Linked DNA regions of Diceros bicornis minor. The protein of the gene in region 2 interacts with the protein of the main gene of each other region in a pairwise test. Links are inferred from orthologs where the notes say so. Each region holds a gene or a part of one and is shown on either strand. Other genes may lie near its edges. The genes, in order: KIF5A, EXOC1, RESF1 and TRIO.

Region 1 (7,896 bases), on a different chromosome or scaffold from region 2:
GGGGAAAATAAATAAATAAATAAAATCTTTAAAAAAAAAAATGGGTCCAATGAAAAAGTCACAGTGGATTCTGAGGGACACAAAGAGCAAAACAAGGTACACAGCACACAGACAGTGACCCAGACACCCTTCTGCTATGACTCAGGCCATTAACTCTGCCTAAGCCCCATCCCCCAGATTCCTGGGAGAAGTCAGGGGAGTGAGAGAGGGATAAGGCTTGCAGAGCTGTCTCTCCAGCTTATTCTCCTACCCTCCGCCAAGCAGAGAAAGCACACGAACATTAGGGACTCTGAAACCCAGAGCTAGCTGCAGTGCCGCAGAGGCAGGGAGGAGAGCCGCTAGAGAAAGGAGCAGGGGCTGGGTTTGGAGAGATTTCCTCTCCCACCCCCCCTCTTCCCTCACCTTCCCAGACATCCTGAAGCAGCTGCCTCCATTAATTCCTCAGACAGTTTCTCACACACTGGGCCCCAAAGGGAGCTAGAGGAGGAAAGAGTAAAGAGGGTAGGAGATTTCCTTCCCTTGTTGGGACCCTCAAGGGTCTCCTCAAATTCACTTCTCCTATAGCCCTCATCTTCCCGAATGAGGAAGGAATAGCAAGGCTGGGACGGCAAACTCCAATGATGCTGCCTGAGACAAAATGGCCCCCTAGAAGCATTTATCTTGGAGTGAGAGATTGACAAAAAGGGCTAGGGCGAGGGAAGATACAGAGCAAGACAAAGGTAGAGCCCTACAAATATCAGGGGAAACAGATAAGGAAGGAGCAGCTGTGGAACTAAGATAGAATCTGAGTTGGCAGGGGGCCTGGGCCTCTCTTCATCTCTCCTCCCTCCTCACCTTCCTCTGTGTCTCTCCTGTCTAGCAAATTGGACAGATCAACACCACACCTCCTCCTCCCAACATCACTCCATGCCCCATGCCCACCACACCAGGACAGCCCAGAGAGCTGGAAGGAGTCGGTTCAGACTTAGCAGATAAACCTCCAGCAAGGAAGCCAGGCTTAAAAGTAGAAGCCTTTTGTGGATTTGCTCCTCCCTCTTGTTTCTCAGGCTTTGTGTCTCAGGGGGACCTTAAGCTCCAATGCTCATAGCTAAGGCTGGCTATCCAGACTACACAGAAGGGAGTCCCCCAGGGTTGATCCAGGCATGATGTTAGCCTGGCCAGACTGGCCAGACTGCAAGGCCTAAGGGCCCTGAGGCAAAGAGAAACAGGGGCTCTCTCTATGTGGCAAACACACACACAAGGCAAACGCACCCATCTGAGTTCACAGTGCGGTGAGAGCTCAGCATGGTGGCAGACTGGGGCCCTTGGGGACAGAACCTGTAAGCAGGTCTCTTCCTAAGGCATGTTTACTCAAAGTCCCATGCTCACTGATGAAGAAGGCCCAGGCTCCCTCCCCTTCTTTCCTTCCTTCCTTTAACAAGCCCACCTTGTGCCAAGCACTGTGGATCAAGGATACATAACAAGCGCCCCTGACCTTGAGGACTGCCCTCATACGTGCCCCTCCCTTCTCAAACTGGCCACAGTTCCCTGGTCCAGCACCCTTCAAGCCCTACTGGACTCGACCCCAGATCCTTTCACCCATAGCCTCATAGTCCCTACCAACCTGGGAAAGGAGAGGTGGGTTAGGAATTCCTTTTGGGCCACCCCAGATAAAGGTCCAGAAAAGAAATCTGAGGAGGCAATGTGATATAGAGAAAAAGACATGAGCTTTGGAGTCACAGATTTAGGTTCAGATCCCTGAATTAATAGTGTGACCTTGAGAAAGTCATTCAACTTCTTTGGGCCTCAACTTCCTCATCTGTGAAATGGAAATATTAATACCTATTTCAGAGCGTTGTTTTGAAGATTAAATAATATATGTAGAGTAACAAGCACACAGTAAATATTAGTTCTTCTTAATGAGATCTCCTCTAGGGGTAGAGGCTGTCATGATGAGGTAGAGGTAGCTTGCCACTTTTTATTGGATCATCAAGAGAAAGGATGAATAAGCAAGTACTTGTTAGGATCTCAGGGTTTGGTTATTTTTATTTGTTAGGGGGAGTTGGGGGTCTGAAATCCTCTTCCTGCTGAACCCAGAGGGAAAGGCAGCTATTTCCTTAGGACCCCAGAGACTCCCCCCCAAACTGGGTGTGGCCACAATGTATTTTTTTCTCAGAAAACCCTTCATCAGAGCCCTTCCCTCCCCCCAACTCCAGGCTGTAACTACTTCAGGGGATGACAGAGGGCTTGGTCCTGGAGCCCACCCTCATGTATACCTCCGCAGAGACCCCGAACTGCCCACCTCCAATCCAGCCCATCCATCCACTAGTCTTCCTCCTCCCTTCCCGGGAGTTGGGGGTAGAGATTCGAGCCAATAACAAAGGGAAGATGCGCTTTCTCTAGGGGAGAGGGAAAACATCGGAAAAACACGGGACTGGCTCTAAGGGGTGGGGACGTTGCAGAGAGCAGCAACGCGGACTTGGGTCCCCTGATCGCGGGGAAGTAGCCCCCTCTGCGGAGACTTGGCCGTCAGCCTGGCCAGGCCACACCCAGCCATCCTGATGCAGCGGAGAGGAGGGGCTGCGGCGAAGAGGATAGAGGACCGAGGATGAGCCGCGGGGAGTGGGCGCAGAGCGATAGGCAGGGGCTAAGGCTCAGCCGAGGGGAGGATTCACCCTACCCCCTCCTCCCCGAAATTCCCTCCTGGGGCGGCACTCACCCCAATAACGACGCTGTCGTCCCCTTGGAAAATGGGGATGAACTTGTCTCCGCGCAGAATCTCGGCCTGGTTCAGGGGCCGAAATCGGCAGAGCACCTTGATGCTACATTCGTTGTTGGTCTCCGCCATGGTGGTCGCCGGCGCGGGGCTGGGGCACTTCTTGGGCGGCAGAGGTGGTGTGTGCTCCAGAGGCGGGGGCTCAGCTGAGGCCGAGGCAGAGGACAGGTGCTCTGGGGCTGAGAAGGCTGTTGCGGGCGCCCGGGCGAAGGCTGGAGAGCAGGGCCGGGGCGCGCTTCCTCTCTCCTGCGGCACCGGGATGCAGGCGACTTGGCGTCTGGTCCTCTCGGCGCTCTGCCTCTCCGCCCCTCGCGCTGCAGCGCCGCGCTGCGGGCCTGGGCGGGGCCGCGCTGGAGGAGCGGGCGGGGCTTCCCTCGAGGGGGGCCAGCCGCTGGCCTCCCCCACCGACTGGTGGCACCTTTCCTCTCTTCTCCCCTCCTCTCCCCAACCTTAAGTCTCGGAGAGAACCCTGCCCTCACCCCTTCCCCACCCAAGTCACTCACTGCATCCTACCCCCCACATCCCTGATCTGTCTGTCTCTCCCTCGGACTCCACCCCCCTGGAAGGGATAAGGAGTCTGAGGTGGGCCTGAACCTGTTTAGAGAAGAGAGTCAACAGCGCTTCCACCCGCTTTATTCCAGGGCATCGGCCACCCCCGTCACGTCATCTTTCCAAATTGGGAGCACACTTCTCATTCCCTCTCCCCACACCCCCACCCCCGCACAGATTCCCAACCCACTCAACCTGCAAGGGCAGCTGCCTGTACCCCTATGGAGCTGGGTGTCCAGGTCCCATTTTTCAGAAAGGAGTGTCAGGGGAGGTCCGGCCATTCCCTTCCTCTTCTACATCCAAAGGTGCACTCTACTCTCTCCCCAACATTCACACCAGGTCCCCAGTTTGAAGGAAGATGAACTCCCATCCTGGGCTATCAGAATTCAAAAGCAGATAAAATTCTCACTTTTGCCTCATAGGTTGAGGCTGGGATGGAGGTGGAGAGGAGTAACTTTTTCAAGAGAAAGGGAGTTAGAAAGTGGTGAAGGAGGGGTGATGATGGGAGCAGGTAAGGCCAGAGGGGCGTTCAGAGAGGACCTCTAGGGCAGACATCTGCATTAGGGTTTCAGGCAGGTTTAGGCACATATGTGAGTGTGTTTCCTGTCCCAGTTACTGTTGGGCAGAGTACCAACACCCAGCCCCTTTCTCAGGCCTTTCTTCTCTATTTCTCCCCCTTCCCTGGCAAAAAAAAAGCCATGCCTAGAGATTCCTTGTCCTTCCTCCCCTCAGGTCAGACTCCTGCTGCAGCCCCTGGGCAGAACCACCTAGAAGCTGGCCGAATTGATTTTTCTCCACGTCACAGGCCTCTGCTGGCGAACAGAGAAGTTAGACTGCAGGAATTGAGGTTCTGGCCAAGGGGAGGAGCAGGGTGATGGGAGACAGGAGGAGGGGATGGAGGTTCTGCCTAACTAACAATTGCCTAAGGTCACTTAGACACTACGAGGCAAGGATGGGAGAATGATGGCCTGGCCAGACAAGACCTAAGCACTCAAAACTCAGCTGAGGGGGTTTCTGGAATTCAGCCTATACCTCTAACCCACCTTGAATCTTAAGGAAACTGAGGGAAAGGGGTCCCGCATAAGAAACTGGATGGGAAGGCAGTAGGAGAAAGAGAGGTTGAGGCTCAGGGAGGAGCCAGGAGAGTATGCACACAATGACAATGAGTTCCAAACTCGAGAAAATAGGCATCTCTCCAGTCACTGAGTCTGGCACTTTTTCTAAGTGTTGCAGCATTCTGCAAGCTCAGGAAATATCCCAACCTCAGGCCCCCAGGGGCTCCAGGGTGGCATCCTTAGTGAAGGAGTTTCAAAATGCTAGTCCATAGAGAGTCACTGGTCAGAGACAAAAGTTCACCAAGCATACCTCCCCCCAAAACACACACATACAATGCGATAAGTTTTTCATAAAGCTGGATTTGTTAAGTTTCAAAGGACTTTTATTCTGAGAATATGTCTTTCTGTACCTTTCCATTAAGTAAGGATGGTAATAGTAGTAATAGGTTTTCTTTCCTTAATGAACTTACTTGGCAAAATAAAAACACAGCAATATCATGTCTATCTTCAAAAAGGTTTATTGTTATTGTTTTGATTTTATTGAACTGTGAAATTCAGAAGTTTGAAAACTATTAGTGAAGTGGTTAAGAGCACAGCAGGTGTTCAGACAGACACAGAGCCACCACTTACCTATTTATGAATGTGAGATAGGATTGCCTGATTCGAAAAACAAAAACAGGATGCCCAGTTAAATTAGAATTTCAGATTAAAAAACTAATAATTTTTTTTGTGTCAGTAGGTCCCAGGGCCAGCCGTGGCTTAGCGGTTGAGTGCGCGAGCTCTGCTACTGGCAGGCCAGGTTGGGATCCCGGGCGCGCACGACGCACTGTTTCTCTGGCCGTGCTGAGGCCGTGTCCCACATACAGCAACTAGAAGGATGTGCGACTATGACATACAACTATCTACTGGGGCTTTGGGGGAAAAAAAGGAGGAGGATTGGCAATAGATGTTAGCTCAGAGCTGGTCTTCCTCAGCAAAAAGAGGAGGATTAGCATGGATGTTAGCTCAGGGCTGATCTTCCTCACACACACACAAAAAAACTCCGAAATATAGGATGGGACATATTTACACTAAAAAAAAATTAGTTGTTTCTCTGAAATTCAAATTTAACTAGGCGTCCTGTATTTTATCTGACAGCCCTAACTTGAGAAGATTACTTAACTTTTTCACTCCTAACATGACTAAGCCTCTACTAAATTTTACTCGTTATTGTTTTTGAAGCCCTGGCTGTGCCACAGCATGCCTAGTTGTATTATTTTTATGTAGTCATTTAATTTCTGGGAGTCCAAATTTATTCATTTGGAAAACAGGAATTATAAAAGCTCTTTCCCAGACTTGATGTAAAAATGGAAGAAAATAAGTTGTATGAAATGACTCCCAAGGCGCGTTATTGTCATTGCCCGCCCAAGCCTCAATCAGCTAAGACTACATATCCCACAATTCTAGGCGGCGTCCCCCTGCCATTACCTCATTCCCTGGCCTCGTTCTCGCCAATCCCTGCCTCGCCAGGGGTGTGGTGGCGGGCTGTTCTCGCGACTTTTGCTTTACCCTTCTCCTGTGTTACTCCTGTCGCGAGACTTCCTGCTCCTCCGCCTTCTCCGCCGCTCCCTTTGCCGCCGCCTTCTCCCGGGACCCGGACCCAGCCTCTCCCCTACCCGAACACCGGCCCCGGCTCCACCGAGGCCCCGGTCCCCCAACCCCGCCTCGCCGCCGCCATGGCGGACCCTAAATACGCCGACCTTCCCGGCATTGTGAGTACAGGGCTGGCCCCGCCTCCCCAGGACCGCACCCCAGACCTCCTCAGGACCCCCAACAGACACCAACCCGCGACCCCTCCCGCCTGCAACCCCTCCTCCGCCCCCGAGCCTCCCGCCGCTCGCTCCCCGACGGGCCGCAGCACCTCCTGGACTCCTCCCACCCGCCTGGGCCGGGTCGTGGGACGGCCTGCCAGGCCCCTTTTCTGGCAGTCGCCGGTTTCTCGGCCCAGAAGTCGTCTCCAGGCGCTCACCACTTGTGCCCGAGTGTTGTGTCAACATCACCCGTGTTTCCTCAAATCTTCCCATAAGCCCCGCATCCCCACCCCCTTACACACGTACCAGGCCACTTGGTGATGGCCTTCACCCTGCCAAGGAAGAGGTTACCGTGGCAAAACCCTTGTGCCAGATGGAGAACTCTGTCCTCCGGGGAACCTCCCCACCCCGCCCCGGCACATGCCGGCATGTACCCTCCTTTTCTGCCGCCCTGCCTGCATCCTCCGGGTGGGGGTTGGGGCACAGGACCTTGGGTACTAAGGTCCTGAGTCACTCTCAGCCCTTGTGCCAGGGTAGTTGTGTACAGGCCCTGATTCGAGCATAGCCCCTCTCCTACTTCTGACATAATGGACGCCAAGAACTCGCCCCCGTTTCAGAGTCAGGGTAACATCTTTGTCATCACTTACACTCACCATTTACCATCAGGTCACAGTTGTCCCCACTGTCATCTGCATCGTTCTAAGACATGGGAACTGACATGCAGTTCCCCGGGCAGGTGGAAGAGAATGCATAGAATCCTGGCACCACAGCCTGTCTTCTCCATTAGTTGTTCAAATGGAGGGGGGTCAGGGGTGTTCATGGATGCTGGGTAGTGAGGTTGGGTGGTCACTGCTTCTACCTGCAGGCCAGGAACGAGCCAGATGTTTATGAAACCAGCGACCTACCAGAGGATGATCAAGCGGAGTTTGATGCGGTAAGACTATGTGCTGCCTCAGGACTCCTCTGGATTCTGACCTCTCCCCCAGGCAGGCCCTTTCCCATTTCTGGTGAACCACAGCAATAAGCGGGTATGCCAACCCAGCCTGGGTGGTATGTAGGTTCTAAGGCTTGCAAAGGCCTTGCTGGTCTTACAGCCACCAATGAGCAATGCCAGGAAGGAGAGTCAGGTCAGTGGAATTACAGCTAACAAGACCTGATCTTCAGCCTTTTAAATAAAATTGAATCTCTCAAAACAGTTAGGTTTGGGGCTAGTGACTTAGGCCCCTGGGTGCTAGTCCATGGTAATGAATCCTGAAGCCTGAGCACTTATAAACTGAGGTTAGGACCTAGGCCTTCTATTTCATAAAAAATTTCACTCAATACATGTTTATTAGTGTCCTACCAAGAGCTAGATTTTGAAGTATAGAGGAAACTCTTTTATGTGAATATCCAGTATCCGTTGGGCAAGGAGTAAGAAAATGATTAGGAGATTTTAGGAAGATCAGGGACCTGGTCAGAGCAAAACAAATTTGAGGAAGAACATAAATCTTTCGTATCAGCAGAGGAGAGGCCCTGGTAGCACTTTCACATCCAAGAAGAGCTCTGAGGAGGAAGGAATTAGCTATGGACACATTTTAACCATGAGGGGAACCACTTAATCATTGTTGATTGAATGTGTTCATTTTGTATTGGTTTTTGTGCAATGCAGAGGAAGAAATGTCCCTGCCCTTAAGGATCCCCCAGACTAATAGGGGAGTTAGTATACATATAGGAGACATATGGAAGAAAAAATAAAATTGAATGAATG
Region 2 (7,767 bases):
AATGATGGAACCTTGAGATTAGAACGGGGACATTTGTGTGGACATGCTTTAGAATTTTAAACCCCCAGATTTTTTGCCATTCTCTGTGCCAACAGTCTCCTTCCTCTTGATAAAGGAAAGCAGCCTCTTCTTGTCTGGAAATGCTGCACAAAAAAAAAATATGTGGGCAAGTGCCTCCTGATATGACCTTACTTTCCTCAATAACCACCCCCATTACCCTCATGGCTTCAAGCCCGTAACCAGAGTCAGATCACGGCACAACCCATGCAGGGGATTGTAATCCCTACTCTAAAGAGAACTATACCAAGATTCCTCAATCTCAGCACTAGTGACATTTTGGGCTGGATAATTCTTTGATGTGGAGGGCTGTCCTCTGTATTGTAGGTTATTTAGCAGCATCCCTGGCATCTACCCACTAGACACTAGTAGAACCCTCCCAGTATTGACAACCAAAAATGTCTCCAGACATTACCCAATGTCCCTTGGGGGTCAAAATCACCCTCCAGTTGAAAACCACTAAACTATAGACTAACTCAAAAGGAATTGCAAAACTGGCTATTATGTACCAATAGACACCAGTGGAATATGTGTGAGAGTGAATATTTAGAGTATCAGACAGAGGAATCGGGTTATAAGGCTGGAAGAGAAAACTTAAGAGATAGTGCCATTTACCTGTGATCTGGATTTAATGTTTTGGCAAGGACACCTGGAGTCAGTCCTAACACATAGCCTTGGTACCTCCTGAAAGCTTGAGTATGATGATGGCCGGTGCTAAATGAGATTGTTAGAACAACTTTGAATAAGTATTGAGAAAGGAATCAGAAGACTCAGGGAAGCAGGAATGTCAGAATGAATTTATTATGTGAGACTAAAGAACCACCACTAGAATATGTTTCCCAGAAGTAAAGATGTTGTAATGAACTTATTGTGAAACTAAAGTACTCATTACTTGCATACGTTGCCCAGAAGGGCTGTGACGCAAGTTGCCTAATGCTTAGGCCATTTGTTCTAGCAGATCTAATGGTGCTGGAGGGATCTGTGATGGATAAGAGCGCTGCGTGAAATTTCTGGAAGGCCCCCAGTATGAGAGTTGCAGCACAGATTCCCAAGAGTTCTCCAAGGCCATGCCTTCTGAGGCAGAGAACTATTCTCCACTGGGGAAACTAGAGCTATCTATCATGAGCTGGATATTACCAGATCCACCAAGTCATAAGTGCATGGGTGCGGCAGCAGCAACCTACTGAAGTACGGAAACGGTATAGGATTGAGGCTGAGCAGGTCCAGAAGACACAAATAAATTACATGAATGGATAACTCAGACTCCCATGGCACTTCTATAGCACTGATATTTCTTTCTCAACTCACTCCCATGGCCTCTTAGAGTTCCCCACGAATACCTAACACAGAATAAAAAAATTGAGCCTGGTTCACAGATGGGTTGGCACATGATGCTGGTGGGTAGGCAAAATTGGACTGCTGCTGCACTATAGCCCATTTAGGGATGGCTTTAAAGAACAAAGTTGAAGGGGAACCTTCCCAGTTGGCAGAATTTGGAGCAGTATTCTTCATTGTTTGCTTTGTATATAAAGAGAAGTGACCTGAAGTAAAAATATTTACAGATTCCTAGGTTTGTCTTTCTTGCCTGAAGGGACTCTGCCAACATCCACAATCACTGGAATTATACCATTCCTGATTAACATTACCTCAACCAAGCAATACATTTTACAGTCAAAAAAAAAAAGTGACAACATACACATGACCCTGGAATCCACTGATATTGTCATATCCCTCATCACTCAGAAGCAGCCAGCATTATAAAAATGGTGGAATGACTTGTTACTGGCTCAGCTAATGTGCCTGCCTGAGATTGGAGTGTTGTCCTACAGGATGTGGTAAGTGCTCGAAACCAACCAATAGAGAGCACCCCCAACAGCTAAAGACGTGACTCCAGAAACCCAGGAGCAGGATTGGCCTATTTTAACATCACTCTCAGTGACCCACTTACAGAGTTTGTGTTTCCTGCCTCTCAAATTTAGGCTTTGCTAGATTACTATAATTAGTTCCCCAAGGGTTGGGTGGAGGATGCTACCCCTAGAATACACAGGATGGAATGCACTGAGCTGGAAACTCTCTCACTATCACTTGGTCTCTTTGGGCTTTTCATGGCAGTAGACCAGCTGGCAAAGAAAAGAGTTACTATATTGGTGGGAGTAATCAACTGCGATTAGCAAAAGAGTCTGGGATTGCTACTACACAATAGCAGTAGGGAGGAATAAATCTGGAATCCAAGGAATTCACTGGGGTTTATCTTGGTATTTCTGTACCCAGGGATAAGTTGCACAGGCAATCATGGCCTAACCAGAGCAAGGAAAATGAAAGCTGAAGGTCTGGGTTACCTCATCAGGGAAACAACCTAGATCAGTTGATGTGCTAGCCAACAGTGAAGGGACATTAGAATGGGTAGTAGAGGAGGGAGTTAATGAATACAAGTAAGGTCTTGGCTTCAGTGTAGCAGTAGGTACTGAAGCTTATTCCACTAACTCTCTTATATTAAGTCCTTGCAGAGATTGTGAGTGGCCATCATCTTGAAGGGGCCTCTGTAAAGGACTAGACTTAACAGGGCACAAGCAGATACGAATGGTACAAGGAGTGGACTGAAATGGACACCTTCTGTGTCTTTCTGTGTATTTTCTGTCACTACTTCAAATCCTTTCATCTTCTTATTCCAACCACTGCTGCAGCAACATGTTCTGAACAGAGGTTGATGAGTTTTGGGCAAGTACACCATGACAGCACCTCTCCTCTTACTTCCTGCCTCAGGACTTCTGTGATGGGGGAGTCAGCTTGGCATTCACAATGCTGCAATTTGGAAGTGTGGAGTAGTCAATGCCCAGGAGCATTAACCTTTGATCAAAGGTGGACAGGAGCTGACAGAGGACAGAGCTTTCAGTGGACTGTTTTGAGACTCTTTCATGAAGTTTGGTCCCAAGGGATCAAGAAAACATTCAAACATGATGATGCCAACTCGATAACACAGCCTTATATTGTCTCTCCCTCTTCCTTGTGTTATTTCCCCTCCCCCTTCTCTCACTCTTGCTCTCTGGGATCAAAGCCCTAAATAAACTACTGCACATAACTCTTTGTTTCAGCCTCTACTTTTGGGGGAATCCACAAGGGGAGAGGAGAGAGGAGAATTTAATTTTTGGACACACAAGTTTGAGCTGCCCAACAGACATCCAAGTGGAAGTATTGAGGAGGCAATGGATACACAAATCTGGAGTTCAGGGAAGAAGTCCAGGCTCCTGAAATGCAATTCACTTCTCAACTTTGAAGAGGACAGTAAATACACACGTAAAAAGAAAGATATAGGACAAAATAGCACATGCAATTGTCATATAAAAAGTGTCCATAGTAAGTGTTCTGAGACTGAGTGGGAAGGACCTAAGGAGTCTTTGTAAAGATAGGATTAGATACAGATCCTGCTCTTAGAAGGGAAGTCATTCAATGAAACTGAAAAGCATTCCAAGTAGCATTGACTAGAGCATATTGATCTCAGTAGCAAACAAGTCCCTACTATTTCTGCTGATTTTTCCACCAAATTGTATCTTGATACATTGAAAGATACTTTGCACAGCTCATTTGTCCCTTTCTCAGTGAATCCATCCCTGACAAAGTGAGTTACTCCCTCTTTTGCATTCCCGTGGTACTTAGTCTCTTTTTTTCTACCTTTGTTGTTGGGTTTACCTCACTAGACTGTAATTTATCCATCTTCTATTTAATTCTGTCTCCCCAATGAGAGTGTGCCCCCTTCTGAGTGTATCTCAGCACCTAACACAGTGCCTGGCATAGAGGTGGCGCTGTTTGTCAAATAAATGAACGCATGCATGAATGGATCCCTGCAGAACCCTTGCAAAGGACTGCGTTGAGCAGGAGCAAAGAAATCGCTCCTTTGAATTCTCAGCACTTATCTGACCGGTACCTCTTGGTCACTTATTTTGTCTTATTTTATACATATTTGTATGCATATCTTGTTTAGCCCTACCATACTGTGAACATCTGCAGGGTAGGATTCCTGTCTGAATCACCTCTGCACCTCGATCAAAGTGCCTGGCATAAAACAGGTGCCAAGAACATGGAATAAATGAATCACTTGCCTTGCAACCAGCAACACTGGCATCATCTGTGCTTCTCAAACTTAAATGTGCATAGGTGTCATCTTGTTAAGATGCAGATGCCAATTCAGTAGATCTGAAGTAAGCGGGAGAGGCTGCATTTTCTAAAGAAAAGCCAGATGATGCACAAACAGCTGGTCCGCGGACCACACTTTTGAATATCAGGGTCACTACATCAGTGGTTCTCGACGGTAGATGCATAGTAGAATCTTCTCAGAAGATACTAAAAGTACTGATGTCTGGGTCCCGTGCCCCAGAGATTCTGATTTAACTCATTTAAACTCTCCATGCAATAAGTAGCAAGGATCTAGAGTTAACAGAGCTTTACACATGCAAAAAAGAAAATACTTCATCGGATCTCTTCTTATATGACTTGCTGAAAATATCTGAATAAATAACTCTTTTAGAGAAAGTAATACGCAGCACCAAATCCCCAGGTCCCTAGTCACTCTCAGAGCGACAGAGGCCCCGCCCCTGCCTTCCTTGCCACGCCCCTCCGGCGGGAGCTTGCCCCGCCTTGCCACGCCCACCGCCGCATCTCCTTCCTCCTCTACGGGGTCGACTTCCGGCGTGGAGGCTTGTCACGTGCCCGGATATGGGAAGTGGTGGCGGAACGGCTGCGTCCTCTCCACCGCTCAATTGAGGGGAACATCTTTGTCACGGTGGTTGCCCCAGCCGCATCCAGTCTCCGTCTGGGAGGACGCGCCTCGGCACAGCCGGGCTCGGTCCGGTCTTGCGGTAAGCCTTGGGCCGCGGCTGCGCAGTGGTCCCGGCGTTGGCGGACAGACGAGCGGACTGGCGGGCGCCAGAGTCTAAGGCGGACCCTTAGTCCCACTGCTGGCTCGGCGCCCGGGGTCGGATACCGCTGGCTCCGCCGTCAGGCCCCCTTTCTCTTCCCTGCCTGTCTGGGTAAGGCGCAGAGTCCAGTCGGAGCATCCCCCAACCCCTTGCTGTCCTGGGGTCTGGGAGGGCAATCTTTACACATCCCTTTCCGGTTCCGCCCAGAGGAACCAGATTTCATTTGTAAAAAAACCGACCCTGATCGTTTGCTCTTTGGCGTGGACCAGGAGAGGAGGGCGTGACAGTGCCTTCCCCTTCATTGTCCAAATCAACATTTTCGTCTAAATCTCTTAAGTGCATTTCCCTGGTTCCGTGCACAGTTTTCTGGATGACAGTGCTCCACGCGCATTGATGTCTCGATAGCATACAGGGCCCAACCCGCACGGACACTGACACTGACAAGTTATTTGTCACGCAGTGGAATGATCCAAATGAATTTAAAGAAACAAGAACCAACACAGTATTGTGGCTGACTGCCCTTGGAACGTGGTCAGACATGGTTCTTAAACCTGGAAAATAGTTTTAGAGGACCTCTAGTGATTTATTCACTGACTTACAAAAAGGTACTGTACAGGCTGGAGAATTAATCACTCGATCCGTGGAATGTAAATGCCATTGGAGGCGTGGATCTTCCTGTCTTCGTGAATATGTCTGTCATGTTCACCCCTGTAACCTAGAATAGTGTCTGGTGCTTAGGAGGCATCAATATTTGCTGAGTGAATGAGAGTCACATAGTGCGTTTCATTATGCCTAACTCCTTTATGAGGTATGCCCCGTCCTTTCTTGTTTTACCCCTTACCATACAGTCAGTGGTTGCTTTTGATCAAAGAGGGGCTGTGTGGTAGATGCTGGCTACTATTGGTCATTCATTTGACCAGTTTTTACTAGTCAGTTCAGGTTACCTCAAGAGGTATTTGTTGAGTACCTGCTAAAAAAGAACAAAACACTATGCTAGAGCATCTCTTTCCCTCACTTCTCTTTCAGGAAAGTTCTTGAGATCCAGGAGCTTATGATCTCATGAACCAATTAGTGCTTGTTTAGTAAATACAATACGTGCTGTAGCAATTGAGAGGAGAGATCAATTTGGATTAAGATCTGTATTGAATCAACTTCATATAAACCAAGCCATGTAATTAGGATAGATGCTATTCCCTGCATGGAAAAGCACCTAAGCAAAGGTTTAAAGACCGAATGAACAGAGGGCTTGGAGTGGAAGGTTTGTATTTGGGAAGATTAGGAAAATGTTGAGCAAGGGCATGTTGTCGTGAAAGCTGTGTTTTAATGTTATTATTTGCTTTTGGGTTGTGGAAGTTTGCAAAGAGCTAACCAGATACAGTAGTGTTAAATAGATATAGTTGATGTGAACCTGGGTTAGTGTGTTGACAGTGGGATCAGAAAGGAAAGATAAATTATGTGTAGCTGAGGGGAAATCAACAATGTGGTAGCAAATTGCATGTTGACAATGGAGGAGGAGAATCACATATGACAGATTTTGAACCTGGACGTTTGCTTACAGATGTGAGAGTTGGGAAGGGGGAACCTTAGGGAAGCTATAATTGTCATGTTATTTGGTGCTGTCATTTTGGCTAATTTTTTAAATGCCTGTTATATCTTTGGCAAGTTCTAAGTATACAAAGATGAATAAGCCATAGTCCTTGCCTACAGAAGCTACTTTTAATGGGGGAGAGAATACAACTAGCTACAAAATATGGTTTGTAAGTGGTATGTTAGCAGAGCAGAGAGGAAATGTTAGAGAAGTAGAAAAGGAATTCTTTGTGTGTGTGTGACTGCTTCACAGAAGAGAGATGTTTTAGCAGGATCTTGCAGGATGAGTTGGAGTTTTCCCAGGAAGAAAAGAATTCCAGGAAAAAGAAATTGCATGAACAAAAGCCCAGAGATAGAAAAGTAAACTAGCCAGTATCCAGTGTGACTTGGGGGTAGGATGGAGTAGAGCTTTTAACAAAGTGTGTAAGCCCTAGGACATAGTAAGAGATTAGTAACATGGACATTTGGTAATAGGAAGAATGGAGGTTAAGATGGGTGAAAATGTAGAGAGATGGAAAAGAAAGCCATTGGGGAAAATTCTACTTCATGGCTTCTATATTCTCTGCAGGGTAGATGGTGAAGTCATTTGCAGCGAGGGAGGAAGCTGGCACTAAAGTTGGGGTCTGAAGGAGAAAAATAAGGATTTGCAACAAGACTGATGGAGAGTAGGAAGAAAAATTATCAAAGGAAGTGTTAAAGAATTGCTGAGCACCATTGAAAGTCTAGCTTTGACTGGATTTAGATATTTGTAATGAATGCAATGAACGTGGATATGTGGCCTTCTTAAGTGGCATATGGTAGCCCAAGAGAAGTGGAGGAAAAAATACAGTTTATGGAGATTGATAAACAAGGTGCACTGGTCTACAAACAGTATAAGATAATTGAAGGGGAGAGTGGGGGTGTAGGGAAGTGAATACTGACTGTAGGCTAGGTTGGAAAAGAAATTAAGCTTGGAGAGGCCAGATAGACTAAGAAAACAGGAAGGAGGAGATGGTTAGAAGACTAGAGGCTGAGATGAGATAAAAGAGGGATGGAAGTGGGAAGATGTGATTTTTGTGAGAAAAGCAATTTTGTGAGTTGGAGCAGAGATAGAAGTTTCACAGATTGAGTAAAATATAGGAGATACCTAGTTTACAGAAGTGTCATTGTGTTATAAAGATTCTTTCTAAGTCATTTATTTAAAACTCATAATTTCTTCATTTTCCCATGG
Region 3 (7,290 bases), on a different chromosome or scaffold from region 2:
ACCAATACCACACCTGATTATTATATAGTAAGTCTTGAAAGCAGGTTGTGAAAGTCCCTCAACTGTTCTTCAGGATTGTTTTTGCTGTTCTTTGTCCCTTGTATTTCCAGGCTCAGGTCTCCAATTATCCCCTTTTGTCAAATCCAAAGGGTATTTTCCAGTTTATTCTTACTTGATCTGTAACAGGATTGAACATTTTTTACTCACGTGAATCTTTCTTTGCTTCCATGATTCCATTCTCCTCGTTTTTCTTGTCTTTCTGGCTATTCCCCTGTCTCTTTAAGGCATACTCTCCTCCCTTGCCATTAAACATGGGAGTTTTTCAAGACTTGGTCCTGGATCTCTGTTCTCATTTTATACTTCAATAAGCTAATACTCCTTCATATCCAGAACTTAATCAACCTGTAAAAGATAGAAATTTACTTCTCTCTCAGTAATAGTCTAGCTGATCCAGGCTGGTGGAGAGCTCTTCTTTACAGATCTTTCAGGATCTAGTTTCCTTCCATTTTGTTCCTTAAACATTCCCTTAGGCAGGGGTTATAACCTAGAGTACATTATATTAGTTTTCTCTTGGTGACATAACAAATTACCACATACTGGGCTGCTTAAACAACACTGACGTATTATCTCAGAGTTCCACTTCCAAGCTCATTCAGGTTGTTGTCAGAATTTATTTCCTTCTCATGCTTCCCACGTGGCCCCCCTCCATATAGAAGCCAGCAACAGGGAGGTGAGCACTTCCCATGCTTTCAATCTCCGACTTCTCCCTCTGCCACCTCTCTCTAGCCTCCTCCTCTACCTTCTCCTTCTGCTTTTTAGGCTCATATGATTACAATGGGCTGGGCCTACCCAGACAATCCAGGCTAATTGCCTATTTTTGGGTCAACTGATTAGTAATCTTAGTTATATCTGCAAAGTCCCTTTTATATATACGTAATATAACCATGAAGTAACACCAGGAGATGAAGGTCACAGGGGCCAAAATTCTGCTTACCGCATCTATGCATAGAATTCAGGAATACCATAAATTTAGATGGCCAAACAATTCTATTTTCACTAACATTTTACTGAAATGTATCATACCCTTCAATTATGAATGTTGGCCAAAAAAGCCACAGTAACATAGCAGTAGTAACACTAAATTTGTCACCATAAAAATGACAGGTATTTTCGTATTATTAGAATTAATGCAGACAATCTTGAAATACAGTCATGTGTCGCTTAATGACAGGGACCTGTTAGGAGAAATGCATTGTCAGGTGATTTCATCATTGTGCGAACATCATAGGGTGTGCTTACACAAACCTAGATAGTATAGCCTACTACACACCTAGGCTACATGCTACTAAACTTATGGGACCAACACCGTATATGTAGTCCATTAAAACATCGTTATGCTGTGCATGACTGTATCATTTATGTCTACCACTTTCAAAATCACAGTTGTTATTGGATCTGCTAATACATTTTATTTATTGTGTTAATAAAGATATACATATTACCATATCACACATTTGTTTTTTAAAATATTTTGATAACTTTCATATTGAATTAATTTCCTGTGTTATCTCACATAATTTACTTTAAGCATTCCAAAACATTATCCTAAGAAGGGGTATATGGGCTCTAACGAAATGGAGAAAGATAGAGGAATTCCACAGTAAGGCATTCCCTTAGGCAGAAGTTGCATATAACATTTCTGCTCATATGTCATTGTGAGAACTGAAACATGGCAATACTTAGCTGCAAGGGAGGCTTGGGGAATGTACTCTCAAGTTATGTGACCTTGTACCCAGCTAAATATTACTAACAGGAAGGGGAAACAGAATATGGTGGACAACCAAGAAAAGAAAAAGAAAACCAATGACCTTATTTATGACAAATGAATAATAGGCATCTTTTGTACACCAACATAATTTTTTTTTTTTTTGGTGAGGAAGATCAGCCCTGAGCTAACATCTGTGCTAATCCTCCTCTTTTTGCTGAGGAAGACCGGCTCTGAGCTAACATCTATTGCCAATCCTCCTCCTTTTTTTTCTCTCCCCAAAGCCCCAGTAGATAGTTGTACGTCATAGTTGCACATCCTTCTAGTTGCTGTATGTGGGACACAGCCTCAGCACGGTGTACTGAGAAGCAGTGTGTCGGTGCGCGCCCAGGAACTGAACCCGGGCCCCCAGGGCCCCCAGTAGCGGAGCACGCACACTTAACCGCTAAGCCACGGGGCTGGCCCCATAATTTCTTACTATAGGCATGCTAACGATGTCACGCACTTTTCCAAAACATGTTTTATAAGTTTAGGAGTCAACGCGCCTTGAGGCTAAGTAGTATGCTCTTGAGAGATTGACTTACCTAAGAGAGCCTTTGTTTTTGAATGTTGGGAAACACAGGGAGAGGATCTGTAATCTTTGATAAGGGACACAGCATAGAGCAATCTAATCTTTTGGTGGAATCTTTCCTCAGCCTGACCAGTTGGATAACAAGATTCTTTGTAACTGGGTTGTAAATATCTTAAAGAGAAGGCAATATAAAGCCCCACCCCTGATTAAACATACTTTCAGGTCCCGGAGATTGTGTCCTCTCTTTGCAAGTCTCCTTGCTGGTGACCCTTCAGAGCTGCTATATTGATGAATGTCAGTTGTACTTTAGGATTGGTGCAAAGACCAAACACTTTTGGAAAATCAGACAAGCTTTACTTATCTAAGGGAGAAAATCAGCACAGGCGAAGACAAGGAGACAGGGCAGAGAGATCATCAACTTCATCCTAAAAGGAGTTGTAGCTTCCTGGGCATTAAATCTTGCTGGGCATTAAGCCTTCCTCAGGCTGTATAGGAGTGGGGTCCCTATCAGACTTTCTGGCAACATTACTCCCTCTCCCTTGGGTTCATTTCTGCTTGCTGATCGCTGTAGCTTAGGCACCAGAAAACTCCTCATCTAAGCCAAGAGCACCATTCCATTTTCTGGGAGCTGCTCTCAATTATGTGTTAATTCATGTAACTATCTCAGCAATCCTATGAGGTAAGTGTCAGTGTTATTCTCATTTTACAGATAAGAAAACTGAGCAGAGACAGGTTAAGTGATTTTCCCAAGGTTGTATGTCTAGTGAGTGGCAGAGCCAAGATCTGAACCTCAAGGGCAAAGAAATACCCTGCCATCCATATCGCAAGAACTACCTACCTCTGCCCTTTGTCATTCTTAATCACTCAGACAGGATTCCCTTGTTGAGTTTCTCCTATAAAAGCCCTCCTATACAAAAGGTCTATTTCCCTTTCTCTGAGAAGGTTCCTCTGAATTAATGGATGTTCTCCCTACTGAAACAGCCTGGAAAAAATCCTCTCCTTACGTTTCACTTGGTGCACTTTCTTTCACACGCTTTATGGAAAGTTTGTCGACCCCATGCTCCAGATCACTGGTTCTGAGATCAGTAGCAACAACCTGTCCGGTGCACTTGTTAGAAATGTACATTTTCAGCCCCACTTCTGACCTACTGAAATCGGCAATTTTCCAAGCGGCACTTTTCAATCCCTTTTAACAAGCCCTCCGGGGCGATTCTGATGCAAAGTAAAGGCGGAGACTCACTGCTGGATAAGTTTTCTCCACCAGATACGAAAACTTAACTTTGCAAATCTCAGCGCGATCCACCGGAGGGCGGGGCAGGCCGCGGCGCCTGCTCATCCGGCGGCAGTAGGACCGCGGCGGCGCGGGGCTGGGCGCTCCCGCCGCCGGCCGGGGCGGGGCCGGCTGGTCGCGGAGCCCGGGCCTCGCTGCTCGCCCCGCCCCCGGGGGCGGACCCGAGGTGACTTAAATCCTGGGGCCGGGAGGCCGGCGTGCCCTCGCTGCTGGCCCGCGCGGTGCTCGGGGTCCGTCGGTAAGTGCGGGGCCGGGGGCCCGGCTGGCCCTCGCTCGCCGTCTGGGGTCCCCGCGGGGCGGTGGGCCCCGGGAGCCCGGGTGCCGGCGGGAAGGGCTGCGCGCGCGGCGGCCGAGCGCTTTGTTTTGCAGCGGGGAGCGGGCCGCGGGCCGCGGGCGCTCGGGCGGCTCCGGGCCGCGGGCGCCGCCGGCTCACACGCCCCGCGGGCCGCCGCCCCGCTCGCTGCCCTGCCCGGACGCCGAGCTGGAGCCGGAGGGCGGCGCCGAGCCGGTGTTGTCTTTACCTCGCCTTCCTCCTCACGGGAGAGCTCGCGGGCGGCGAGGGCCAGGACGCATTTTGTTCAACTATAAGGCGGTTTGTGGGTGTGAGACTAGCTTATGTTTTTAATGATTTCCTGTCGCTGGCGTGAAAAAAAAAAAATCTTTGTTTTTGCATTTACCAAGTCTCGAGCGTTCCCTCCCTCCCCCTCCCCCATGATGCTGAACCCCCCGAAACAATTGACCCCGCTGGCATCTCCAGGTGGCCCGCGAACGCGTCTGCCGGAGATGCTTTCTGTTCCTCAGCAACGTTTAGTTCCTCGAGGCACTTTTAAATGCACAAATGCATACCGATTTTAGGTGTTCTCGAGGGACGCGAATTCTCTAAGCACATTTCCTTAGGGTCGTGAGTTCAGCAGCCAGTTTTCGGGGAATCGTCCCAGTGAAAACAATTGATTTGTAATACCTTTAGTGCCTACCTCCAAAATAAAGAGAACAGCAGGTGATGTGTATGCACTTGAGGTGCATTTTGATAGGCGGGTCGCAGAGCTTGTTTGGGGATTTTTGTGCTTAATGTGTTAGCTGTAAATCATATTTAAGTTTTAGTCAGTGTTACCATGCGCGAATGTTAAGGTTTTGATTACCTATTTTTTTCCTGTGCAATCAGATTCTCTTTTACTGATCCAGTAAAGAAAATTGCTAAGGTGAAGTATTTTTTTTTGGAATGCTAGGACAACATGGACCTGGAGGAGCGCAGATGAATTCTAAGTTAAAAAGTGAATGGTATTTTAGACCAGATCTGTTTTCTATTTCTATTACTTTGTACACTTAATAAGAATTCAGTAAACTTAGTATGCTTTTGGTGCACTCTTAGGAACACAGGTTTGCACAGTAATGTCACATCAAGTAAACATTAGCATGGACTTTTATTATAAATTTAATGTAAATTTTACATAAATAAAAATATAATATAAATTTTATTTTAAATTATTAGTTATAAAATATTTCTTGCCATCCCTAGGACCAAAGAAGTAAACACTGTAGAGGCGTACTGATGTGTTTGGAGGGAAATGGGAGCATATACAATAATAGACGAGTAACGTCATATTTAAAGGTAAGTATGTCACCTCTAAGTAGCTTACTCTAATTTATGTTATGGAATAAAATTATTAATTAAATGAATCAGCATTGGTTAAAAATTAAACTATAGGACACAATGGATTTGGAGGAAAACTTCCCTTCTAGGTTCTTTGGCTGGTTTAATAATTAAATTGACATAAGACAGATGAACGGGAGAAAAACAAATGTATTTTCATATGTACGGGAGCCCATAAAAATGAGACTCAAAGAAGTGACCAAAGCAGGCAGCTTTTATACCTTTTAGAGAAGGAAACAATAAATTTGTGAAGAACTGACTGGACAAAGGGTTTTGGGCGTGGGGTAGCAAGTTAGTGAAGAAGTAACAAGGTTTGTTAATTCAGCCTTCTCAGCACTAAATTCCTTATCTGGTGATAAGGATGCCTTCTATTCTCTTGGTACCGAAAGTGTACCTTTCACATGGGAGATTTACATCTCGCTTGCAGAGAGACAAAGGAGGTTGGAGTGTCCTTGCACCAGCTGTTTCTTAAGTAACTTTAACTCAAAATAATCAAAATGCTGAAGTGGCATATTTTTGGGTGGCATATTCTGCTCCCCTTCTGTGACAAAGGTCGAAGGGAAATAATATGGTTGGCATAGCATGGAGAATTCAGTTCATCTTTGCAGGATATGAAAGAGATTATTTATGGTGGGGCAACTGTGGTCTAAGTTACTTGGGCAGAGTACTGCTTAAAATTATTCTCCACATGCTCAGTTTCTTATTTGATTGTTTTTATTTATTTCTGGCACATGGAGTTGGGGGAGGGTAGCACAGAGCACAACTCTGGGAGAACCATTCCATGAGATACCAACCTGTAAAGCCAAAGCGATTGTCTCCAGGGCCATCCCGTAAACACCAAGCTGTGTTAAGAAACTGTCTGTAATGATTAAGCCTATGGTCCCTGCAATCAGACTGCTGAGCTGCAGATTTTGGCTTTACCACTTATTATGTGTACAACCTTGGGAGAATATATTTAACCTCTCTGCCTCCGTTTTCTCATCTGTAGAATGTAGGTAACAGTAGTACCTCCCTCGTAGGATTGTTGTGATAAGTTACCTGAGTTTCATACATATAATACTTGGAACTGCTTCTGACACATAGTAAGTGCTCAATAACTTCTAGCTGTTGTCATGTTATAGGAAATAAATTTTATGGCCCAAGACAATAACACTACCTTGGAGGAAATTCAGCTTGCTCATTTAAGCTCTAAATCAGTTTATCAGCTTTGTGTTGATTAAACCCTTCTCCGTAGATCCTGTTATAGGTTCAGTTTTTGTAAGGAAGTACTAGACCCAATTCTAGTTTTTACCCGCAGTCTTGTTTGAAATCAAGAATGCCTCCATTAAATTCTCTAGCCAGGGCAGATTCGCCCATAAGCCTTGTTTTTCCGTCTGTCTTCTGTGATGTACAGGAATCTCTTCCCATTTAGATATATCAATGTCTTGGACACAATAGGAGCTCAAATATTTAGGGAATTGATTTAAATTTACAAAAGCATTTATAAAGATGAATTTCAAGAATTTTTTTTGTCTAACCAGGCCTTCACCACCCTTGCCCCATCCCCCCATTGGAGGCATACTCTTTGTGAAATAGACCTGGAAAGCATTCAATTTGAGATAAAGAGAACAATTTACCAACTATGTCTATAGAGATGCAAGTTAAAAATTACTTTGTAATAAACCTTGTAAAGAAAGAAGTAATCTTGGACCTTGAAGGATTCTAAATGCTTTGTTGGGAGGCAGCTATGTAATGTGCATATTCTTGAGACCCTAAGGGTGCTTGTAAATTGAAGGGCAATGTTGGAGGCTGGCCTGTTGAAGTAAATGTCTCAAGTGAGACATTTGCTCATAGTTGTTGTGATTGCAGATTTAATGACAATCATTAAGATTCTCTTGAGATGTATTAAATTACAAGACTTCATTTGTAAATAAAATCTTTAACTTGTGGTTAAAATTGCAAAGTGTTATAAGAAATTATGTCATTCACTTAAGTTTTAAGAAACAGAAATCATAAGCAGATTATTAGTTTTT
Region 4 (7,472 bases), on a different chromosome or scaffold from region 2:
ATTCTCTGTGTTTCTACATCTTAGGAAAGAATGTCAGATTTTACTGATGGACTTGGCCTCTCCATTCTCCTCAGCCAACCAAATTCAATCAAAACTGCTCAGGATGGCCCCTGCCTGAGCCACTCTACCAGGTGAGGTCCCCATCCAGGGTCCTCCCGCTTCATCAGTCATGACTGTCCAAACCCCCGATTCTACCCCCACCAATCCAACTGAATGGTACCTCTCTACTCTCTGCTAGACATCACCGCCCTAGATGCTGGAGCCAAGATCTAGGTCAGGGATTCAGAGCTGCCCAAAGGAGGGAAAGGCACTTTTAAAAGATGTTCCAGACTACCCCTGAGATGGGACAGTGCAACCGCTGCCTACTTTAAATCTGCTCTGGCTCCTGGTTCCAAATCAAACAACTAAAGGGGAAGTTTGTCCAATCATTTTGGAGGGTGGAAAAAAGGAGCAAGCCAGTGAGCAGCATTGCCTGGTTCTGCCCAAACCTGAACGTGAAGAGGAGCCTGGACAACGGAGCAAGCACAGGCCAAGGCATGGCCACCAACAGATTTATCTCCCCGGATAAATCCTGGGGAGAGCCACGCTGACAGGAAGCAAGTTCTCTGTGGGCATCCAGTCCAACCTGATGTCTTCTAGGGGCTCTTCTGAGCAAAAGAAGTGAGTTCTCTATTGTGCATAATAAAGATGTAAGAAAGTCTGGTCTCACGAGCACCAAAAATCCCATCTCCAGGGCACAAGAGCCTTTCTAACAGAGAGGAGCTGAATTCTGCACAGAATCTATTATTCTGTGACAGGTGGTAGAGACAGAGAGAAGACAGGCTAGACTTTAGCTTCAGGGCATGAAGGAAAGACGTCCCAGTTCTACTATTAAGAGGTAAGACAGGGCTGCTCTATCGGGCTAGTTGCACCAAAAAAGGCTTTCACTAGGAGTTCGTTTTCCCTAACCTTTGCTTCCTGCAGGGACCTCACTGGAAAGGGGACCCTGGGGAGCATATTAACCCCAAGCTGACACTATAGAGTCGGCGTATGTCACTCCCAGCCACCACCAATCTGTTAAAATGCCTCAAAAATAACCCTGCCTGGCAAAGAACAAGAAAACGGGGTTAAGACAGTACTAAACCAGGTATCTATCTAAGGACACTGCTAACTTCTGCCTCTGACCATCGCCCTCCTACTGCAAATTGCTCCCTGTGACCCGGATTACCGGACTGATCTCACCGAATCTGGGGACTTCATTTTGAAAGAGGCCACCGAGCGCGCCCCATCGCAGGCCGCTCCCCCGGCATCCCCGGCCGCGCCGTCCTGCCAGGGGCCGCCACCAGCACCCCGCACACGCCCTGCGCCCGCCCGCCCACCCACCCCGGCGCCGACCTGGCCCACCCTCCTCGGCTCTCCGGGGCCGGGTCTGCATCCTCTCCACCCCGCGCCTGGCCGCCCGGCACGGCGCTCCGGGCCGCGGGCCCCGAGGCCGCCGCCGCCGCCGCCGCCGCCTGCTCCTCCGCTCCGGCCCGGAAGCGCGAGCTGACCGGACTGGGCGTGGGGACGCGGGCCCGGGCGGGAGAAGGCGCCGCCGCCGGGGTCCCGGGGACGCCCCGTCACACCCCCCGCGCCTCCTCCCCGCGGGCCAGTCGCAAAGCTCCCCTCTCCCGCAGCCACCCCCTCCTCGCCGGAGAGACACCGGGCCACCTGGCACTGCCTCCACCTCCACGCCACCCCGGCAGTGGCCCGCAAGCGCCTAGCCCTGCGCCTCCCCCTGGGCCACCACGTTCCCAGATGTCCCTGCCGGGCCACCCCCAGAGACAAAGGCTCACCCGCCGCCCGGCCGGCCGCACTTCATCTCGGCCACCTCCCCACTTCCCTGGGCAGCGAGTGCCATGGCTGCCCCGTTTCACAGAAGTGTAGACCGAGGCCGGGGAGCTGACAGGCTAGAGGACCGAGGGAAGAGACCCGGCTGCTCATTTGGGTCGAGGAGGGTCCAGGGACAAATCGGCCACAGAGACCGGCCCAGATGACCGCCCGCTTTCCCGGCCCGGCCCCGCCGCCCCCGTCCGCTCGGCCTCCGGGGCAGGGGCCTCCCCCCTCGCCATCCCCGCCGCCGCCTCCTCGGCCCTCCAGCAAAGGAGACAAAGAGCCGGCGCCCTACCCCGTGGAGCTGCGGGCGCCGGGGCGGGAGCCGGGAGATTTCACCCTGGAACGGGGGCTGGGCGCAGGGGAGGGTGAGGCGGCCGCCTTCGGGCCGGGCCGCGGCGCGCGGGGCGGCGGGCAGCGGGACACGCCGGGGTAGGTCCCGGAGCCCCGGCGCGGGGTGCAGCGGCCCGGGCGAGAGCGCGCCGGGCCCGCCGGGGCCCGCGGACCGCGCCTCCGCGGCGGGGCCGGCCGAGCGCGCGGGCAGCGCCGCAGTTGCACTCACCGGATCGGAAGAAGGCCGCGATGTCGGCCAGGTCCTTGGCCGCCTCCTCGGCCCCCTCGCCGGCACCGCCCCCGCAGCCCGAGCCCGCCGCGCTGGCCGTGGCGGCGGTGCCCGAGGACGCGGCGGGGGCGGCGGCGCCGCCGCTGCTGCCGCTCATGGCTGCGGCGGCGCCCGCGGCCGCGCCCGGCTCGGGCCCCGCGCCCCTAGCGCCGCGCGCCGCCCGCTCCGCGCCGGGCCTGGCGGCTCCGAGCGCCCAGCTGCCCGCGCCCGGCGCGCGGACGCAGAGCCCCGGGGCGGCGGCGGGCGGCGGCGGCTTCTCGGCCCGAGGAGCGCGCCCACATAGACGAGGACTCCGCCCGGGAGCCGCGAGCTGGCCGCGGGGCGGGGGCGCGGAGCCACGGCCTCGGCGGCGCCGGCCGGAGCGCGGGCAGCAGCGCGCGCCGCGCCGGACACGCAGTCGCGAGGGCGGGGGCCCGTGGCCGGCGGGAGCTCCGGGATCACGGGCGCCGGCGACAGCCGCGAGCCTCCATCTTGATTTCAAATAGGGAAGGAAGGAGGGGGAGGGGGGAAATCACGGCCGAGGGAACCCGGGTGAGAGGAAAAGGGAGAGCAGGGAAGGGAGAGGAAGGAAAAAGGGGGGCTTCGGCAATTTCCGGCGAACATCGTCAGGGGCCCGAGCGTGGGCTCGGCGGGTGGGCGGGGCCTGGCGGGAGGGGCGGGGCCGCGCCGGGCTGCGGGGCGCCCAGAGGGCCGGCGGCGGCCGCGGGAGCGTTCGGTCCTGCTCTTTCTCCTCCGCCCGGGCAGCTCGAACCTCTGGAAGGAGGAGGAACGCTCTGACCGGCTGGGGCGGACCTTTCCAGGCCCAGCGTAGCGCCCCCCGCCGGGGCGCTCGGTCCTGCACTGCGAGCACCGTCCTCCGAGCGCTCGAGCTGCTTATTACTGATCTCGCCCGCGGGGCCCGGCGACTCGGACGCTGGGCCGGTGTGTCGCTCATTGGCGCAGCGCCGGCGCTGGTAGATGGGGCTCCATAATAGTGGCTGAATGAACAGAGAGTTCTTGAAAACCCGGAGGTGAGTGGGGCAAGCCTCAACTCATGGGGGCATAAGCCTCCTTGTCTGTAAAATGAGATTCCAGACCTACCTCCCCTCCGTCCTTACTCCACCAAAATGTAAAGAATGAGAAAGGTGATGGGGGCCGGGGAAACCAAAGGGAATGGGGGGGTGGGCGACATCCAGCTTTATGGAAGGTCCATGTCAAACCAGCGTTTGACAAGTATTCAAGTTCAAAACGCCTATGACGTGGCTACAAGAGCAGTGAGCAGAAAGGATGGGTGTCAGAGGTTAAAGGATCTAGTGATGCGGAAAACAAGGAGAAGCAGAGACAACATTGATTAACAGCAACTGGATGATGAAACCACTATACATGTATACTGGAACTGAACAATTAAATAAATGAATGCTGGGTGGTGCATACCAGGTTTTTCACTATTGGAGAGGGAGGTTACAGATAACCAGGGGGAGGAGGCTAGAAAGATCCATGTGGTATTGGATTAGAGTTGGAGACATCAGTATGAATTCATGTTTAGCTTAACATAAATACAGATGGATATATAAAAAGATTTATGGATATGTGTATATACACAGATTAGTACACATACACATATTTCCTTGCTCTGTCAGCTGAGTGGACTTAGAAACGACACTGCAGTAGCAACAGCACACCTGCAGTAGCAACAGCACACCTGGCACTCAGACCCTGTTTTTAACACCATTCTCCAATAAAAGGAACCAGGGCTCCTTGGGGAAATGGCTGACTCTAGGACTGAGGCAGGAAATAGACAAGATGAGCCCAGAGCATCCTGTTGTGCCAGAAGGTAAGGAAGTGTTCAAACAAAGTTTTTTTTAAATCAACAACCACAGCAATGATAGAGGTCTGTCAAAGGAACACAGGAACCACTTGAAAGAGCTCCCAGGGGCCAAAGCTGGAACAACTTGAGCAACAAAATAAATAAAGCAACACTTGACTATAACTCAAAGTATAAAATAAATATCCAAGAGTCCATACTGATATAAATAAGTGATTAGGTAAATAAATGGGAAAGAAGAGACAAATTTCCCATGCAGAAGAATTTGAAATCATGTATGTAGATACTCTGCCCACAATGAGATGGAATAGAACTCCCGTCTCCTTAACTATGGGCTGCATATACTGACTTCCTTCCAAAGATTACAAAATGGAAAGAGGGGCGGGAGAGTAACTTCACAATGGAGACACCTGGCAAACCCTACTCCAGCCTCGTGAACAAGGTTAACATTAACAGTGATCAATCATGTGGGTGGTATGTATCCTTGATGTAATGAAAATGGCACTTTACCTCTGTGGTCTTCCTCCCAAAAGCACATAACCCCAGTCTAATCATGAGAAAACATTAGACCAATCCCAATTCAGGGACTTTCTACAATCTACCTGACCAGTACTCCTCAAAACTGTCAAGATCTTCAAAAATAAGGAAAGTTAGAAAAACTATCCCAGCTGAGAGAAGCCCAAGGAAACATGACAACTAAATGTAATGTAGTATTCTTGATGGGATTCTGGAACCAAAAAGGACATTACGTAAAAACTAAGAAAATGTGAATAATATATGAATTTTAGTTAATAATAATGTACCAACACTGATTCATTAATTGTAAGTAATGTGGGGAAATTGGGTGTGGGGTATATGGGAACTCTATACTACCTTTACAACTTTTCTGTAAATCTAAATCTGTTCTAAAATAAAAGTTTATTTTAAAAGTTGTTTTAAAATTGTAAGTGCAGTGTCTCAAAAAGAAAAAATGCGGTAGGTCCAAATTTCATAGGCCATTAGCTCAGGTGTGCTCACAATGTTCCCTTTTCTTGTTTTTCTCCAAGTTAATTTCTGTCCCCAGCTCCCATTCCCCCTCATGGCAGAAAGCTTAATGCTAGCTCAGGGAAAACTCCATCTCCAGGGACTTTCTTTGTTAGTTGAGTGCCTTCCCCCTCTTACGTCCTCCCCAAGGTGGCAGCCAAGCTCCCAGAGGCATTGGTGGTACCACAGCGTGGGGTGGGGTTGAGGAGGTTGCACCTGGTCCTTAGTCATCATGGATTCATGCTGGCACCAGTGCAGATGTGTCCTGTGTCTGTGCCCGTCCCTGACACTCCTGCCTGGACTGCAGGCGTTGCTATGACCTTGTTGCCTTCTGCTGTTGGCCCCTTCCTCACCCAACCATGGGGCCTCTTGAGGTCTGCTGGCAGTCAACACCCCTCCTGAGCTACTCCCAACCTCTCAGGAAAACAGTCAACTGCTCACTGGGGTGCTCAGACCCACCTCACCACCCTCCAACCCCCACCCCAGAAAGTGAGGCCAAGTTCTCCCTCCTTCCAGATCCCTCAAGCCTACCTGGGCACAGACTTCCTTTCTCAGAGACTCACATCAGGGTCTAATGCTATCCATCTCCTCTCCCCCAAATTACAAAATTAATTCCCCTGCAGGAAGAAAACCTCACTCCCGTTTTACCATGCTTTCTTCCAAATCTATTGTTTATGGCATAACCTTTGTGTTCTTAAGAGACTCAGTTTAAATATTCAAAAAACCTTTCCCTCCAATTATGACCTCGGCCATGGGTTTCTGAAGTGTCTCTCAAAATTCAGAAGCCAAGTGCTGACTTCTTTCTTTCTCTTTATCTCCCTCCCATTGTAACTCTACCCTGACGGTCGTAAATACAGAGCCCCCCTCTGCTGCCTAAATGGTGGATAAAGGGCAAGAATTTGAATAATAAAAACTGCTGGGGCAAGGGACAGATGGGATATCATGCAGCCACAGAAAGACTGGCAATACCTTAGTGATAGTACTTGGGACAGCTGGAAAAAGCCAAATTGTGTTGGAGGGTTCTTGGGTAGAGGCAAGTTCTGGGGTTAGGAGTTGGCCTGAAAGGGAAAGTGAATGCGTGGTAGTACTGCTATTGGGGATCAGGGTGAAGAGGGAATGATCAATGTGTATTTGGGCAAAAAGATCTCTCTAGGGTTGAGACCCAGATAGTGACCAATTCTCCCATCTCAGGTAGAGTCATTTCCAAGAAAGCAATATAAAAGACCTGTGCCTGAGTGTGGGACATGCATTACGGCTCACCCAGATTGCAATAAGAGAAAGAGGCTGCACGCAGGTTTTTTTCCTTCTGCCATCTGAGCGTGTGTAGGGGGATCTAAACAGGGTTTCATGACAGCTGCTGTTGATCCTACCCAACCTTCAAAATTGAGCTCAAATTTCACCCCCTTTCATGAAGCTCCTACATAACTCAAACTGATCTCTCCCTCCTCTGTATTCTGCAGCACCCACTGTTCTGGCATTTGATCATGTACTGCATTATATTATTTACACCGTTCGTGTTTAATATCTTGCCTACAAGATGAGGAGATCCTTTGCAATCAGTACACAAGCATCAGCATGTCTCCTGTGTGCCTAGAACTGGACCAGGCACAAAGGTATGAAGCAAAAGAAATGGAGAAAGCCAGCTGGGGCAGACATTGCAAATTGTCTACCCAAAATCCTTTCTCTCCTTCTTATCAGAACCCATGCCTGGCTAAAACACTCCATTTCCCAGCTATGGTGGCCATGTGACAGGGTGCTGGCCAATGAGATACAAGTGGAAAGAACTGGGCAGGGCTCACAAGAAAGAGTTCAAACTGGGCATGTGCATGCCCTTTGCCCTTTATCCTCTCTGGAATACAGACAAGATGCTGGAGGTGAAGAGACCACTGTGTGACTACGAGAGGGTGCACGTGAGGACAGAAGCATATGGTACTGATGGCTGAGTGAGCTGCCCACCTCCAGACTTCTTGTTCCACAGAAACATACAAGAAAAGGAAGACTCTGATGTAGTCAAGGGGCTGCGAGGTGGGTGTTCAGTTTTGTGCAGCCAAACCAGCTCCTAACAGATAGACCAGCCATGGTTCTTTATCAGCGCCTCTCAAACTTTTCCACCAAGGAAGCCCTGAAGATGGAGGAGGATGAAGAGACAGGTGAAAGTTGTATCCTTGAAGA

What was found.
Region 1: the proteins of EXOC1 (region 2) and KIF5A interact in a two-hybrid assay, tested with the Homo sapiens proteins (2 studies listed by BioGRID and IntAct). The link is inferred for Diceros bicornis minor from reciprocal best matches to the Homo sapiens genes EXOC1 and KIF5A.
Region 3: the proteins of EXOC1 (region 2) and RESF1 interact in a two-hybrid assay, tested with the Homo sapiens proteins (2 studies listed by BioGRID and IntAct). The link is inferred for Diceros bicornis minor from reciprocal best matches to the Homo sapiens genes EXOC1 and RESF1.
Region 4: the proteins of EXOC1 (region 2) and TRIO interact in a two-hybrid assay, tested with the Homo sapiens proteins (2 studies listed by BioGRID and IntAct). The link is inferred for Diceros bicornis minor from reciprocal best matches to the Homo sapiens genes EXOC1 and TRIO.

What each region holds. Positions count from the first base shown.
Region 1 is NC_080756.1:11,425,194-11,433,089, forward strand, and holds the start of KIF5A (kinesin heavy chain), read right to left. Parts: upstream 3,007-7,896; 5' UTR 2,828-3,006; coding exon 2,699-2,827; intron 1-2,698. Other genes in the region: DCTN2 (dynactin subunit 2), read left to right, coding at 6,075-6,110, 7,015-7,083. UniProt on the Homo sapiens protein: Microtubule-dependent motor required for slow axonal transport of neurofilament proteins (NFH, NFM and NFL). Can induce formation of neurite-like membrane protrusions in non-neuronal cells in a ZFYVE27-dependent manner.
Region 2 is NC_080747.1:43,525,322-43,533,088, forward strand, and holds the start of EXOC1 (exocyst complex component 1), read left to right. Parts: upstream 1-4,758; 5' UTR 4,759-4,910; intron 4,911-7,767.
Region 3 is NC_080756.1:31,828,249-31,835,538, reverse strand, and holds the start of RESF1 (retroelement silencing factor 1), read left to right. Parts: upstream 1-4,276; 5' UTR 4,277-4,624; intron 4,625-5,088; exon of another isoform or gene 5,089-5,143; 5' UTR 5,144-5,236; intron 5,237-7,290. UniProt on the Homo sapiens protein: Plays a role in the regulation of imprinted gene expression, regulates repressive epigenetic modifications associated with SETDB1.
Region 4 is NC_080759.1:50,414,919-50,422,390, forward strand, and holds the start of TRIO (triple functional domain protein), read right to left. Parts: upstream 3,007-7,472; 5' UTR 2,571-3,006; coding exon 2,414-2,570; intron 1-2,413. UniProt on the Homo sapiens protein: Guanine nucleotide exchange factor (GEF) for RHOA and RAC1 GTPases. Involved in coordinating actin remodeling, which is necessary for cell migration and growth. Plays a key role in the regulation of neurite outgrowth and lamellipodia formation.